4 linked regions of the Cricetulus griseus genome follow. The protein of the gene in region 1 interacts with the protein of each later gene in a biochemical or structural test. Links are inferred from orthologs where the notes say so. Each region holds a gene or a part of one and is shown in the gene's direction. Other genes may lie near its edges. The genes, in order: Nup98, Nup155, Nup88 and Kpnb1.

What was found.
Region 2: the proteins of Nup98 (region 1) and Nup155 form a complex in vitro, tested with the Homo sapiens proteins (2 studies listed by BioGRID). The link is inferred for Cricetulus griseus from reciprocal best matches to the Homo sapiens genes NUP98 and NUP155.
Region 3: the proteins of Nup98 (region 1) and Nup88 form a complex in vitro, tested with the Homo sapiens proteins (2 studies listed by BioGRID). The link is inferred for Cricetulus griseus from reciprocal best matches to the Homo sapiens genes NUP98 and NUP88.
Region 4: the proteins of Nup98 (region 1) and Kpnb1 form a complex in vitro, tested with the Homo sapiens proteins (3 studies listed by BioGRID). The link is inferred for Cricetulus griseus from reciprocal best matches to the Homo sapiens genes NUP98 and KPNB1.

Annotation. Positions count from the first base shown.
Region 1 is NC_048596.1:97,176,075-97,180,215, forward strand, and holds the start of Nup98 (nuclear pore complex protein Nup98-Nup96), read left to right. Parts: upstream 1-1,305; 5' UTR 1,306-1,444; intron 1,445-1,535; exon of another isoform or gene 1,536-1,682; intron 1,683-4,141. UniProt on the Homo sapiens protein: Plays a role in the nuclear pore complex (NPC) assembly and/or maintenance. NUP98 and NUP96 are involved in the bidirectional transport across the NPC. May anchor NUP153 and TPR to the NPC.
Region 2 is NC_048595.1:341,864,928-341,869,196, forward strand, and holds the end of Nup155 (nuclear pore complex protein Nup155), read left to right. Parts: intron 1-803; coding exon 804-940; intron 941-2,443; coding exon 2,444-2,550; intron 2,551-3,505; coding exon 3,506-3,644; 3' UTR 3,645-3,717; downstream 3,718-4,269.
Region 3 is NC_048600.1:84,763,242-84,766,806, reverse strand, and holds part of Nup88 (nuclear pore complex protein Nup88), read left to right. Parts: intron 1-1,378; coding exon 1,379-1,565; intron 1,566-2,164; coding exon 2,165-2,312; intron 2,313-3,565. UniProt on the Homo sapiens protein: Component of nuclear pore complex.
Region 4 is NC_048600.1:110,314,710-110,318,274, reverse strand, and holds part of Kpnb1 (importin subunit beta-1), read left to right. Parts: intron 1-154; coding exon 155-226; intron 227-782; coding exon 783-927; intron 928-2,791; coding exon 2,792-2,874; intron 2,875-3,429; coding exon 3,430-3,537; intron 3,538-3,565.

The DNA of each region.
Region 1 (4,141 bases):
TTCTGAGCACAGTCCTGCTCCTCTGTGAGACCTCAATAACGAGACAGGTCTGATTTCTAGAACATGCCCACTCCTCTGCTCTTAGCTAGATCCCAGGAGGAAACAGACACCAAAAGGATGAAAACGCAACTTTGACCAACACCAGGGGAGGGAGGAGTCTAAGAATAGAAAAATAAGATACAAAGTAACAAGTCCTGATAAGAGGACCGCCCAGGCATCACCCCAACTTGTTGAGGTTAGCAAATGCGTCCTGGAGAAGGCAGTACATTTGCACCCAATCCATCCAGAACAGCACAGGTTCTGAAGCTGCAGCTGAAGCAGAACCCTCATTGGGATCAAGCCTTATAATAGACCATTGCTCAGATCTACCTTAGAGATTCAGAGGAAAGGATGTGAGAAGACTTGCTTGGACCGGCAAGAACAACAGTGGGGACTGAGGGTCTCTGAAGGGCTGCTGATAAGCCACATGGATTGATAGGTATCCCAAAAGGGTTTTCAAGCTCCGAAAGTGCCAGCTGGGTGGCCTGAGAGCCTGCCCATCATTACCCGCAGACTTGAACTAAAGAAGGGTAGAACAGTTACCATGTCATCCTTGGGCCTTCCCTCTGATTGGCCGGAGCTTCCGTAGCCCGAGTCTCCGCGCTCCAAGGAAAGGGGCGGGGTCTCGGCACAACGTCACCGCTTTTTGGTGCTCACTATTCTAGCCACTCCCCAGCCCTCTTCGAGGGGCCGTGTGTGACGTCGCGAGTCTCTATCAGCCAACCGTCGCGGCAAAAGGGGTGGGACTCCAGGTCCCTCCCCACCATCCCTCTTTTTTTTTTTTTTTCTCCCCACCCAATTCCTCACGCCCCTCCTCTTCCCCTCTACTCCTTCTCAGAGACCGCCTTCACGTTCGGTTTCAAAAGGCTCGTCGCCCAATGAGTAACACGGTAGGCCTCGAGTGGCGGAACGGCCTGCCAATGCCCGGCTGGCGAGGGCGGAACGCCCGGGGCTGGCCTCTGACGGCGGACGGCGTGTGACGCAGTCGGGCCTCTGCGCGCTGCGCCCGAAGCGGCGGTCGGTGGCGGCGGCGGCCTCGGCGGCGGCGACGGTTTCCTGGTGGCCGCGCGCTGCTCTGTGAGCGGCGGGTGGCAGACGGACCTGGGCCCTCACCCCAGACGCACCGCGGTAAGTCGGGAGTGCTGCTGGGGCCGGGCGGGCGGGTCCTCTTCTTTGGACCGGCATCTGCGCGGGACGCCCCGGGCCCTCAGCCTCCCAGTCTCGTGCGGGGCGCGCTCCTTCGGGCCTGCGTGAGGGGGCGGGGCCCGCGGCCCTGCGGCTTGGCTCGGGAGGCCCTGGGAGGGAGTCCACACGCGTGGGGCGTAGGCCAGGGGGCCTCGGGTGGCAGCCCACGCTGAGGGAACCTCGTTGTCTCCGGTGCTACTCATTCATTCGCTGGGTAGAGGTGAGCAGCCCGCGGTAGGCTGGCCCTTGCGGGGATGGTGCCTTGGGGACTCAGTGAGGTCCCCCCCCCCATCACTTCTTTGACCACTCTACAGTACGCGTCTTGTCTAGGGTTAACCAGAGGGTTGAGTGAGTCGGAAGTGCGTTAGCTTTTTAAGACATTGTCTGGCGATTGGAGGGGTCTGGTCAACCGAATGAAAGGTTCTTTTCTGTTCTGCCGCATGTTCGTGTAAACCGAGGTGAGAAAGATTGGATTCTTGAATTACTGTAGCCATAGCGTTTAAGACATTCTATGTCAATGCCCCCATTCTGCATCACGTGCAGAGGTTTTGTAAGGTGGGAGAGGACTCAGTAATGGCAGATGTCTTGACTCAAGCCTAGAATTTTTATACTATTCCACCCTCCCTGTATGTTCCAGTCTCTCATTATTGGCTGTTCTGTATTTGGTAGGGGGAAGGAAACGGACATTTGACATAGTGTTCAAAACATTTCCATTTAGGTGCTACCATTTTTGCTTATATAGTAAGATAATAGAACTTTATTAGTATTACCTCGATGTAAACTTTTGGGGAGCTCGGGGAGACAAGATCTCATTCAAATCCTGGTTGATCTGGAATTCACTATGTAGGTTTGCCACGAAACCAAAGAAACCACTTGCCTCTACCTCCTCGGTGCTGGGATTAAAGGTCTTTGCCATTACAACCAGCCCTAACCTAGACTTTTGAGAACTAAACTTTAAAAATAGTTCAAGAGGCAGGCTTAGTGATGCACGCCTTTCATCCCAATACTTGAGAGGCAAAGGCAGGCGGCTCTCTCTGAGTTCAAGGCTAGCCTACTCTACATACTGAGTTCCAGGACAGCCAGAGCTGCACATAGAGACACTGCCCAAAAAAACCCAGGCGTTGGGGGTGAGTAAACCCAATATAGGGGCTGCTGGAGAGACCCCTCAGCAGTTATGAACACTGACTGCTCTTCCAGAGGAGCTGTGTCAATTCCCAGCACCCACATGGCAGCTGTCTGTGACTCCCAAGTTCTGACACCCTCACATAGACATAGATGAAGGCAAAACATCAATTCATATAAAACAAAAATAATTTTTTTTTTTTTTTTTTTTGGTTTTTCGAGACACGGTTTCTCTGTATAGCTTTGGAGCCTATCCTGGCACGCTCTGGAGACCAGGCTGGCCTCAAATTCACAGAGATCTGCCTGCCTCTGCCTCCCAAGTGCTGGAATTAAAGGTGTGCGCCACCAACGCCCAGCTTAAATTATTTTTAAAAAGTCAATATAGATGTGGTGTTGCAAGCCTGTAGTGTCACCAGTAATGGAAGTTGAGGGTGGAGAACTAGAGCCCAGGAGTTTGAAGCCAGCCTGGACAACATAGAAGATCCATCTCATTTAAGAATTGTGGAGGGCAGCCAGGCGTTGGTGGCTCACGCCTTTAATCCCAGCACTCGGGAGGCTAGAGGCAGGCAGATCTCTGTGAGTTCAAGGCCAAGCCTGGTCTACAAAGCTACACAGAGAAACCCCACCTCGAAAAACAAAACAACAACAAAAAGGATTTCACGAAATTAGTTGTCAGTTTGATTTGAACATACTTATCAGCTTGTAGATTTGATGTTTATATAAACAGTAAAACCTAAAAGCAAGTAATTCAAGAGAACAGAGGAGTTCTGTGGTATAAATATTAAAAGTTGTGACCTGGTGTTTTTTTGTACTATTTTATCTGTTTGGACATCACAACCTGGGAAACTTTTCCTGGTATGCTTTCCTATGTAAGCTTTCACACACTTCCTTACTGATACTTCTGCTTGTAGCACACATTTTATATTTCAAGTGTTTGTCTTTTTATTAGGTTATGATAAAATTTATATTTTTTGGTCTTTCTGAATGTCCTTAAACCCAGCACTTCATGCTGGACGGTAGTGGCGCACGCCTTTAATACCAGCACTCGGGAGGCAGAGGCAGGCTGTCTCTGTGAGTTCGAGACCAGCCTGCTCTACAAGAGCGAGCTCCAGGACAGCCTCCAAAGCCACAGAGAAACCCTGTCTCAAAAACAAACAAACAAATAAAACCCCATCACTTCAGAGGCAGAGGTATGTGGCTCTCTGGCTTTTTGTTCAGTCTGGTTTGTAAAGCAAGTTCCAGGCCAGTCAGGACTACAATATGAGACTCTGCCTCAAACATAAAATAACATGTATATTAATTTGTATTTAGGTTACATGGCTCATCGGCCTCAGTTATATTTTTGTGAATGAATAAATACAGAAAAATTAAACTGAAAAATATTCCAGAAAAAAGGCTAGATATTTGTGTACTTCTGAAATACTTTTTTTTTTTCTTTCTTTCTTTTTTTTTTGTAGCCACTAGCTCCTAGGTATCTAAGAATAACTAAACTTTTACAGCACGCACCAAATTCACAGATTAGGAAAGTAAGTTATTTATTGTCATATTACTGTGTACTAGCAGTCTAGGACATAGAGTATTGTAATATTGATTAATTTCTAGTAAGAGACTTTGTAAAATTCTGAGATTATTATAATCTGTAAATCAATGAGTATGGTGGCATGTGCTTTTAATCTCAGCACTGGGGAGGCAGAGGCAGGTGGATCTCTGAGTTTGAGGCAAGCCTGATTTACAAAATGAGTTCCAGGACAGCCAGAGTTGTTACACAGAGAAATCCCAATCACACACACAAGAA
Region 2 (4,269 bases), on another chromosome or scaffold:
CCTATACTTAATAGTTAATCACTTCTTATTATTTTCTTCCCTTATGCCCTTGGCAACTACAGGTTTATTTTCTGTGTCCAGTTTGCATGTATATATCTTTCTTTTTTTTTTTAGGTTGTTTTTGGGTTTTGGTCCTGGGGATTACACTCAAGACATTCTATATACAAAGAGCATGCTCCAAAATATGTTTATTGTTTTTTGTTGAGAGGGAGAGGGAAAGAGAACACTTATGTACATTCATAAACATGAATATGAGGTCAGGAAACTTCCCTAATTATTACTTAGCTTTGTTTGTTTGGAGATAGGATAGCCTGGTAAGTTCCTAGTAAGCTAAGCTGGTTGTTCAACAAGCCCCAGGAATCCACTTGTTTCTGGCTCTCTACTGCTGGGATTACAAGCTTGTATCACTATATCTGCCTCGTTTTCATGCTGTTAGACTTTGTTTTGATGCTTTAAAGAGAACCATTTTCCCAAATGACCCTACCTCCTGGCCCCCAAATGTGCTTGAAATTCATTTTCAGATAGCCACTAGAAACCACTCATTTAATAATTAAACAGTTTGCTGAGTCAAGAGTTCCATATTTCTGGGCTCTAGCTTAGCAGTAAGAGCACCTGTTGCTCTTGCAGAGAGTCTGAAAAGAGTTCCTAACATCCACCTGTATGCTCACAAATGTTAGTAACTGCAGCTCTAGGAGACATGATGCCTTCTTCCGGCCTCCACTGACACCAGGCATGCACATGATATACATATGTACAGACACGCAAAGCTCTCATCTGAATTTCTGTCTTTTTTTCTTTTCCAGATTTTATTGTGCTGTTCTTAGAGCAGCAAGTTTGTACATTAAACTGGGATGTGGGTTTTGTGATACAGACCATGAATGAAATTGGAGTGCCTTTACCTAGACTACTAGAAGTTTACGATCAGCTCTTCAAGTCACGGGTAAAGAAAACAAAATGATCTTCCCTGGGTTTCCTGTGAGGTGTTCCAATTACATGTTTATAGGTATCTTAACATTTAGGCTGCATGTTTTCAGTGGAGATTTGCTTCAATTATGCAAGTAAAATAAACTTTGGACTCTTATCTGAGGGTTGCTTTGCTTTGAAATACTAATTTTATATGGGTAAACATAATTAGCTGGGCGACAAACACCTGTAACCCCAGCGCTTGGAAGGCAGAAGCAGGTGAGTTTGAGGCCAGCCTGGTCTACAGAGCAAGTTCTAGGACAGCCAGAGCTGTTACACAGAGAAACCCTGTCTCAAAACAAACAAAACAATAATTGTATGTATTTACTCGTGTCGTAATAGATAAACCAAAGTAGGGGCTATTTCTGGACTATCCTAGGGTCTTGCACATGATTGACTAGTGTTCTACCACAAGACTGCAATCCCCAGCTTACTTGCTTTAAGCAAACAAAATTAACAGCACATTTACTCATGTATCCTCATTTTTTAAACATCTCATGTAGAGGATAGGGAGATCCTAGAAGTAAAGTGCTTCTAGCCCACGTTTGATCCACAGAACCCATATTAAAAACTAATGCAATGGTGTGTTTGTAATCCCAGTACTGGAGAGACACAGACAGGTGCATCCTGGGGCCTCTAACTGTGCCTTCAAAAGAAAAAGAAAAAAGTTAAGGCGGACACCTGCCAAGCAACAACATCCTAGACTGTCCTTTTCTCTGGTCTCCATGTGTTTCCACCTGCCCCACCCTGCCGCCCCATCCCACATGCATTATGTTGGAGGAAAAAAAAAAAAAAAAAAAAAAAAAATATTATATATATATATATATATATATATATATAGTGTGTGTGTGTGTGTCTGTGTGTGCGTGCGCGCGTGCACGCGCGTGTGTGTAGTTGTACAAAAGTTGAATCTTTCACTGTTTTTTGAAGGCTGACCTTAAACTTGGGATCCTTCTACCTTAGTTCCCTCGGTGTATAATGTGACACCACATAATGTGTTCTCCAAGGCTTTTCTAATAACTCAACTGAGCCTCATAATTAGGACATAATGAAAATAGTAGTGCCTTCACCTTACACTACAAAAAGATAAGGATAGAGACAGGAAGCAGCCTGTTGTAATCTTATGGGCCATAACAGATTAAGGTTCTGTGACTGCTAGTTTCTTTTACTCTATGATCAGACTGCATAAATTTAAAGGAAAATGGCTCACTGCGCTGGCTGACCTAGAACTTACTATGTAGACCAGGCTAGTCTTGAACTCAAAGAGATCTGCCTATCTGCCCCCAGAAGACTGGAATTAAGGACATGTGCCATATGATCGGCGGCTTCTAATGCTTTGTAAAGAAATTTTGCTTGCATTCCAAAGACTTCCTTATCCAATATAAATAATTAGGAAAACACACATACACACACCTATATATTTGATGAGTTGTAATATAAACTGTGTCTGTGTATACATACATAAATTTTCTCTTCATAGGATCCATTCTGGAACAGAGTGAAAAGGCCACTGCACCTTTTGGATTGTATCCATGTATTACTGACAAGATATGTTGAGAATCCTAGCCAAGTTTTAAATTGTGAAAGGTACCTGGGTAACAAGTATGAAGTGGGTATGGAATGCTCTTAGAGCTGTGCTTCTCAACCTTCCTGATGCTGTGACCCTTTAATACAGTTCCTCAGGTTGTGGTGACCCCACCACCACCACCATAAAATTATTTTTGTGGCTACTTCATATCTGCAATTTTGTACTGTTATGAATTGTAATGTTAATATCAATATGCTATCCCTAAAGGGGTCGTTGCCTATAGGTTGAGAACCACTACTCTGGATATTACAAAGAAGCAGTAGAGAATTTCATGGGTATATTAGCAATCCATATTTAATGATCACCTAAGCATTTGCATTCATGAAAGACTAGAAATGTTTTCAGCCATGGCCCTAAATTTTCTAAACTGAAAGTTAATTTATAAACTACCTTATGCTCCTTCTTATGAATGAGGACCAAGACATTTCAGTTATGTCTTTGTGGGATGATTGAAAGGGAAAGTCTTTTTAAAGGCTGAAAGTATGTAAATAATGTTAACAGGAGTCATCCTTTAATGCCTCCAGCTAACACTGACCTCCACCTACATTCCCCTCTCTGTTTCCTGCTACTTACCATTCACTGTTATCTAATCCTTGCTTTTCAACGGACTATAAGAACGTTAATCAAAACTAGGTCTGAAACAGCCTTTTGAAGGAAATGGGTTTAAGTGTAGATGGTTGGGGTTCTGAATCAAGGGCTCAGTGATGAAGAGCACTTTCTGCTTTTTCGGACTTCCTGAGTACAAGTTCCAGCAACCCCATAACAGTTCACAACCATTCATAATGACATTTGCAGGGGCTCTGATGTCCTCTTCTAGCCTCCAAGAGTATGGGACATGTGCATGGTACACATACATACATGCCAGCAAAAGCACTGATACATATAAAAAATGAATGAATGAATGAATCTTCAAGAAGAAAGCAAATGGGTGACCTGATGTCTTTCCCTTTCCAGGAGAAGATTTACAAATCTCTGTCTGGATGCTGTTTGTGGTTATCTGGTTGAACTCCAGTCAATGAGTTCTTCAGTAGCAGTACAAGCCATCACTGGGAATTTTAAATCTCTCCAAGCAAAGTTGGAACGGCTTCATTAATTATTGTAATATATTTTCTTTCTTGCATTTTGGTCTGTAAAATAAAAAAGCTCAGCTGGGTCCAGAAAACAGATGTTGTATATCTAAGAATTTTGGTAGAAATTTGATTTTAATAAGTGATTGTTAGCTACAAATAGTACATTTGCCAAATGAATTTTTTATGACTAGCTTTTTTTTTTTTTTTTTTTTTTTTTTTTTTTTTTTTTTTTTTTTTTTTTTTTTTTTTTTTTTTTTGATTAGTTGGATCCAGGTATGTAGCTCAGTGGTAAAATGTTTGTGTAGTAAAATGTAAAATACCCTTGATTCAGTTCCCAGCACCACACACAAACAACATCATTTTGCAGAAACCTGAAATAAGATTATGTATGATTCTGACACACAAAGATAATGTTCTTATTTTAAATTTTACTACTGGCACCAATTTTGAATTTATATTACTTCATGTTTATCTAGTATCATAATTTCTAGGCAATGCCAGGTGTAATGGCACACTTTAAATACAGCATTTGGGGAGGCAATGGCAGGCAGATTTCTGGAACTCTCAGAGTTCCAGGCCAGCTAGGGCTACATAGTGAAACCTTGTCTCAAAACAAACAAAACTAAAACACCTTATAGGCTGGGTTTG
Region 3 (3,565 bases), on another chromosome or scaffold:
AACAACAAATACTGAAGCTAGCAGTATCTTCCATGGAAATTTGATGGAGTTACATTCCTAGGTAATGAACATGCTGAGGTCTGTTCTGGAAAATAGGGTGGTTTCTGAGCAGAGTAGGACAGGGAGAACTGAAGTTGTACAATTTTCTATCTGATATACTCAGGGTTTTGTTTTTTTAATTGGAGTTTTGCCTTTTTGTTGTTGGGGGTTTTTTGTTTTGTTTTGTTCAGGGCTCAGGTTCACCCTTTGAGCCCAGAAAACAAGAGAGAAAAATGAGAACAACACTTAGGAAGGACTCTTTCAGAGAAGTAGAGAACACTACCAGAAAATAAGTTGTTAGAAGTGTTAACAGTGTTCAGCCACCAGGTGGTGCAAGTCTTTCATGCCCACACTTGGGAGTCAGAGGCAGGCAGATTTTGTGAGTTTGAGGCCAGCCTGGCCTGTATAGTGAGTTCAAGGACAGCAAAGACTTTTTGAATGGACTCTGTCTCAAGAAAACAAAAGAATGTCAGGCAGCAACAGTTGTTAACCAGTGATAATATAGCACGTCTAGTTGGATTCAGCAACTAGAATCATGGGGGAATCTTTGCTAGAATACTGTCTGTCAGTGGAGAGTTAAAAATGGAAACCAGGCTAGATGTGGTGGTACATGCCAATAATTTTAGCACACAACCGTTCTGAGTTTGAGGCTAGTCTGGGCTGTGTAATGGACCTTGTCTTTTTTTTTTTAAGATTTATTTTTATTTGATATGTATGCGTTTTTGCTTACATATATGTATGTGTACAATTTGTATGCAGAGGTCAGAAGTGTACATCACATTCCCTACAACTGGAGCTAGACATTCATAAGCCACCATATGGGTTCTGGGAATCTAACTCAGGTCCTCTGCAAGAGTAGCCAGTGCTGAACCATCAGTCTAGCCCTTTGTCTCATTTTTTTCTGGTGGCTGTAGTGATTTCTGAGGATGAAACCTCTGATCTTACCACCACCAACAGATGCCAGGCATGCCCCTGAACCTCATGGTGTAACAGTCTACAGTGTCTTCAAAGACACAGTAGCATTCTCCTAGAATCCTAGCTCTGGAAACTATGATAGGAGGATCAATAATTAAAGGCAACCTAGATTAGATAGGACTTTGTCTGGAAGGAATAAAGAAACCAAACAAAACAAAACCCTGGAATCTCTTCAGGCACTGCTGCTTTCCTTTCAAAGGGAAAATTAGATCAAGAATCACTATTGTTGGGATGTGAGTGGGAAAATAAAGAATAAAGACCTCTTTTTGAAGTTACAGTAACTGAAGGGAGACAAAAATCGAAGAGTAGGGGGTGGTTGTCTTCTGTCAATATTTTTCTGATAAGGTTTTCATTCTTCCTTTAGCCCTGGGAATATTGGGAAGCTGTTGGGACCATTGCCTATGCACCCTGCAGCTGAAGATAACTACGGTTACGATGCCTGTGCTGTACTCTGTTTGCCCTGTGTTCCCAATATCTTAGTAATTGCGACTGAGTCAGGAATGCTGTATCACTGTGTTGTACTAGAGGGTGAAGAAGAAGATGATCAAACAGTAAGTGCCAGGCTAATGTTACTATAGTTCGTATCTTTAATAGCAGGTGTATTTTATGGGCCAGTTTGAATGCTTAATATGAAGAATTCTAGCTTACACATGGCATTTCTGGAAACTATATATTTTATATAAGAATAATTAAAGCATAATTAAGAGTCCAAGTGGAAAGAAGTTAAAAGATCGCCCAATTTACCAGTCCATGAAATGTATTTGTTTCTGATCTTTGTATTAAGGGTTTCACACCCTGAAGCAGTAAATTGAATCTTCCAAACAGAAGTCTGCTCTTAGGGCTGGAGAGATGGCTCAGTGGTTATGCTCACTGGCTGCTCTTCGAGAAGATCCAGGTTCAGTTCCTAACACCCATGGTGGCTCACAACTGTTTATAACTCCAGTCCCAGGGGATCCAGCACCCTCTTCTGGCCTCTGTTGGCACCAGGAATGCAAGTAGTGCACAGACATAGTTGTAGGTAAAACACTTATAAACATAATGAAATAAAAGCTTGGCCCATGCTTTTTTTCATTTGTGTACATTTTCAAATTCATGAGAGGGGTTGGAATTTCAGTCCTTTTTTTTTCTTCTCCCTTTGTGTTTTTAACAGTCAGAAAAGTCCTGGGATCCCAGAGTTGACCTCATCCCTTCTCTGTATGTGTTTGAGTGTGTTGAATTAGAGCTTGCCTTGAAACTGGCATCTGGAGAGGATGATCCCTTTGCTTCTGACTTTTCCTGTCCAATTAAGCTGCACAAAGGTAAGGTATCACTAAGTGCTTTTTATCCCACTGTATTTATGCTAACTTGTAGTTTATTTGTATGATCTCAGCTTTTAGAAAGTTTATCACTGGATTCTTTTGAACTTTTAGTTATTACACAGCACATTCTTACTGAGGCAGACTCAAGTTTTAACATATCTGGATCCACTGAGATATTTAGTTTCCTTATTGTTGTGTATATGATGTTTGTGTGTATATGTCAAGTTTGGGTATTAGAGGACAGCTTTCTGGATGATTCTTTCCACTTTACATGGATTCTAGGGATCATGCTTGCGTGGTGGTCACTTTACCCATTGAAACCACACTACTGGTGTCTCCCAGATGTTTGGTGACCTTCCCCCCACACACACACAAAAGTTGATTTCATAACCTGGCATAATGGTAATTCCTATAATCTCAACACTCAGAAGCAACCACATGATGGCTCACAACCATCTGTAATGAGATCTGGTGCCCTCTTCTGGTGTAAAGCATGCATGCAGGCAAAACACTATACATAATAAATAAATCTTAAAAAAGAAAAGAAAATTCACTAGGTATGTCTCATTTCTGTTTTGAGCAGTATAAACATTAAGTCTAAAAACTTGATAGATGAACACATAGTGAGGTAAAATGATATAAGGTATTATTTGGTTTCCTTATAAAGATAAGTTACTGTTGTATTGCTGTGAAGACACCATGACCAAGGCAGCTCTTACAAAAGGAAGCATTTAATTGTGGACTTGCTTACAGTTCTAGAGGATTAGTCTATTATCATTAAGGCAGAAAACAAAACAGGCATGGTACCTTATATATAAAGAGAATTAGAGTGGTATATAGGCTGTGGTTCAACTAGTCCAACAGTGGCTGTATCCCAGTGGGAAGTCCAAAACCCAGAAGTTGTTCATTCCATGAGGCTGGATAGCTCAGTTGGTCTTCAGTGTATGTCCCAAAGAAGTAAGCTTTCTAATGTCAGCGAAGCAAGAGTGATGGCAAGCAGGCAAAAACTGTTTAGCGTATTGCTCAGGCGTAATACTATCTAGCTCTTACAACTTAAATTAATCCATAATTATTATTTATATTTAGCCACGTAACTTGGTACCTTTTCTCAGTAAGGCATTCTCATCTTGCCTCCTCTGCGCCAAGCTGGCAACTGGAACTGGAGTTAAAAGGTATTGTGAGCCACACAGTCACAGTGTGAGTGCTGGGAACCTCTGAGAAAGCAGTGCATACTCTAAACTGATAAAATGGAC
Region 4 (3,565 bases), on another chromosome or scaffold:
GCTCAGTCTCCAGAACCCAAAAGGCTTGCAGCTTACTTTCTGCTTTGCTTGCCTCTGCTTTCTGGTGGTTATGCTCACTGTTAGCATTCCAGAGGCCTGGTCATTGCTTCAAGTAGAAAATTTCCGTTACACATGATTTCCTTTTTTCTTTCAGTCCCATATCCAGAGCACATCAGATAGAATCCAGTTCAATGACCTTCAGTCTCTACTCTGCGCTACTCTTCAGGTACAATGGTGCCACCTCTCATTGTTTGTCTCTTTTGGCGGGGGGTGGGAGGGTGTTCTGTGCATAAAGTGCCTAAGAAGGCCGAAAGGGATGTTGGGTCTCTTCATATTGGAGTTACAGATGGTTGTAAGCTGTCGTGTGGGTGCAGGGGATCGAAAACCAGGTCTTGTGGAATACCAGCCATTGCTCTTAACAACTGAGCCTTTCAAATCTCTAGTAGGGCTGGGGTGTAGAGGGTAATGGTTCTGTCTGACAGGCAGATGCGGTGATGTTGTGTATCATAGGACTTTTTTCTGTGTGTGTGTGTGTGTGTGTGTGTGTGTGTGTGTGTGTGTGTGTGTGTGTGTGTGTGTGTTTCCAGTGAATTGAGAAATAGAAGAGATCATTGAAATGAATGTTTGATTAAAGATGATTTGCTGTGTCAGAATTCTTAAGGAAAATGTATTGCTTTTGCAAAAAGGGGGGAGGGGCAGGGGCTCTTTTTCAGAAAGGTGTATTTATGTCCTGATTGGTGGATTTAGAATTAACAGATCTTGAAATCTTGTTCATTTTACAGAATGTACTCCGGAAAGTCCAGCATCAAGATGCTCTGCAGATCTCTGATGTGGTCATGGCCTCCCTGTTGCGGATGTTCCAAAGCACAGCTGGGTCTGGGGGAGTGCAGGAAGATGCCCTGATGGCAGTTAGCACGCTGGTGGAAGGTGAGAGAGCAGCCAACCCCAGGCTCTGTACCCGCAGAGGGCAGGAGAAAGTGACTACATCACTGCCTTCCTGCCAGCCTCCATAAAGTAATGGCCAGCTAGTTTTAGCATCTACGTCAGAATGGCAGCCTTCCAGGGGTAGTTAGTGCTCATCAAAGGGTCTGTCAGGTTCCTTCTTCCCTTGAAAATCAATTTGCTTTATTAAGGGTTTCTCTTGTTTAAGGATAGAAGAAACAAGAAAGGTTCTGGTTCCATTCCTGCTTTTGGCACCGTCAGGTCTGGATTACAATGCTTTGGGCTTGAATAGATTGTAGGGCTTAGTGTCCTATGGAATAAACTATTGCCCGAGTTTTAGGAATTGATTGACTTCTATTGTACGTATGTATATCTAACTATACAAAATTGCTTTGAAAAACAGTATTCAGACTTATTTTTTAAGGGCACTTAAAGCATTTAAGAGCACATTGGAACTCTAGAATGCTTCATCAGAGGTGACCTTTAAATATATTAATAAGGCCATTATTTAAAGACCACTGTTGTGAGGACCAGTCCTATTTCTGGAATAAAGAGCCTGTGTCCAAAACCAGGTGAGATAGTAGATGCCTGTAGTTATACACTCTAAAGGCAGAGATAGGAGAATTTAGTTAGAGCCCAGCGTATGATACATAGTGAGTCGCCTCTGGGTAAAGAACTAAAGGATGCTAAGGATATATAGCTCAGTTGGCAGAGTATTTGTTTAAAGAGTAGGTAGCTCTGGGTGCCCCCAAAACAACATAAACTGCATAAACACACCTGTTCCTCTAGCTCTCAGGTAGTGCTGGCAGGAGGATCAGGAGCTCAGCATTACCCTCTGCTATACTGGGCATGCCTAGGATGCAGGAATCTTGGTGGGGCAGAGTTGGGGGAGCGCACACCTGTATGTTTGGTAAGCTGAGACAAGCTTTCGAGTTCTGAGGACACCTCAGCTATAGAGTGAGACCCTTGTACTAAGATAACAAAAGCAGGGCCTAGAAAGGTGTCTCAGAGTATTTGTTGCTCTTTCAGAGAACCAGAGTTTGGGTCCTAGCACCCATGTGAGGTGGCTTACAAACAACTGTTACTTCCTCTTCTAGCTTCTGCCAGCCAATGCACACACATAATATTTACAACATAAATAAGTAAAATTGATTAAGTAAATTAAAAGTATGGGGCTGGAGAGATGGCTCAGAGGTTAAGAGCACTGGCTGCTCTTCCAGAGGTCCTGATGAGTTCAATTCCCAGCAACCACATGGTAGCTCACAACCATTTGTTATGAGATCTGGTGCCCTCTTCTGGTGTGCAGATATACATGGAAGCAGAATGTTGTATACATAATAAATAAAATCTTAAAAAAAAAAATTAAAAGTATGACTCCTAAAATGATGGGAGTGTGGTGAGTAAGGCCATTCCAGCTGCTGTGCTCTGCAGTTCTGTCTGCCTTTCTCCATTCTTGCTGCTAAGAATTGAGCCTAGGGCCTTGCTCTACCACTGAGCCGCACCCCTGTCTTTCTGTTGTTTTTCCTGGCTGTGACTTGTTAAGGCCTTGCTTTGATCGACTAGGAAACCTTGTTTTCAAATTGGCTTCCCAGAGAGGAGGGGACATGAAGCAGCATTGCTAAGTCAATTAAAAATTATTCTTTCCTTGAAGTCCCTGCTACTTTACTTTGTTAGAGGAGCCTTGGCATTCTCCATGCGACATGTGAATTTGACCCTTCAAACAGAAAGCTTGAATGTCTTCATGATATAAATACTAATCAACACATATTCTGCCCAAAATGTTTGGGTTACTTGGTTCATGTAGTGCCCTTTGTTGCTGGGATTAGCTAATAGTTTGTTTCATTAACAGTATTGGGTGGTGAATTCCTCAAGTACATGGAGGCCTTTAAACCATTCCTGGGCATTGGATTGAAAAATTATGCTGAGTACCAGGTAGGATATGCTTTTCAAAATAGTGTCTTTGGTTTTCGTTTGTTTTCACATTGCTGAGAATCAGACTTTTGTAGCCTGTTGTATGCTAATGCTAGGTAAACACTTAACTAAACCATGAGCTCCATCCCAGTCCTCAAAATCATATGCTCTCATGAATGCAGCATGTAAGAGTAGTACAGGTGGAATCAGACTTCTGCAGCCTTAGCGTCTGCACTGGAGGTGCTCTGTGAAAAGAAGGATATTGGATCTGCCAGATAGAGATCACAGGTTGACTGCCTGAACAGTCCTAATTAAAGGGCAGCTGCCAAGTTACGTCACCACTGCCCTAAAGAGCAGCACTGTTTCCCATGTTCTGCACCATCATCCTTTCCTACTGATAACTCAGACAGCCCTGGTTCTCTTGCTAAATCTGGCTAAAATTCCATAATCTCCGCAAGGGAAGGATATGTTCTTTGATTCTGGTTCAAGTGAGGGACCGCTGACTAGGTAAAAGGAATACTGTACTCTGCTGGAAGCCTTTTCTTTTTGGGAAATCATTTCCTTGATTCTTTGCAGGTGTGTTTGGCAGCTGTTGGCTTAGTTGGAGACTTGTGCCGAGCCCTGCAGTCTAACATTTTACCTTTCTGTGATGAAGTCATGCAGCTGCTCCTGGAGAACTTGGGGGTGAGCATTTTGTTTTCTAATTGGTCAG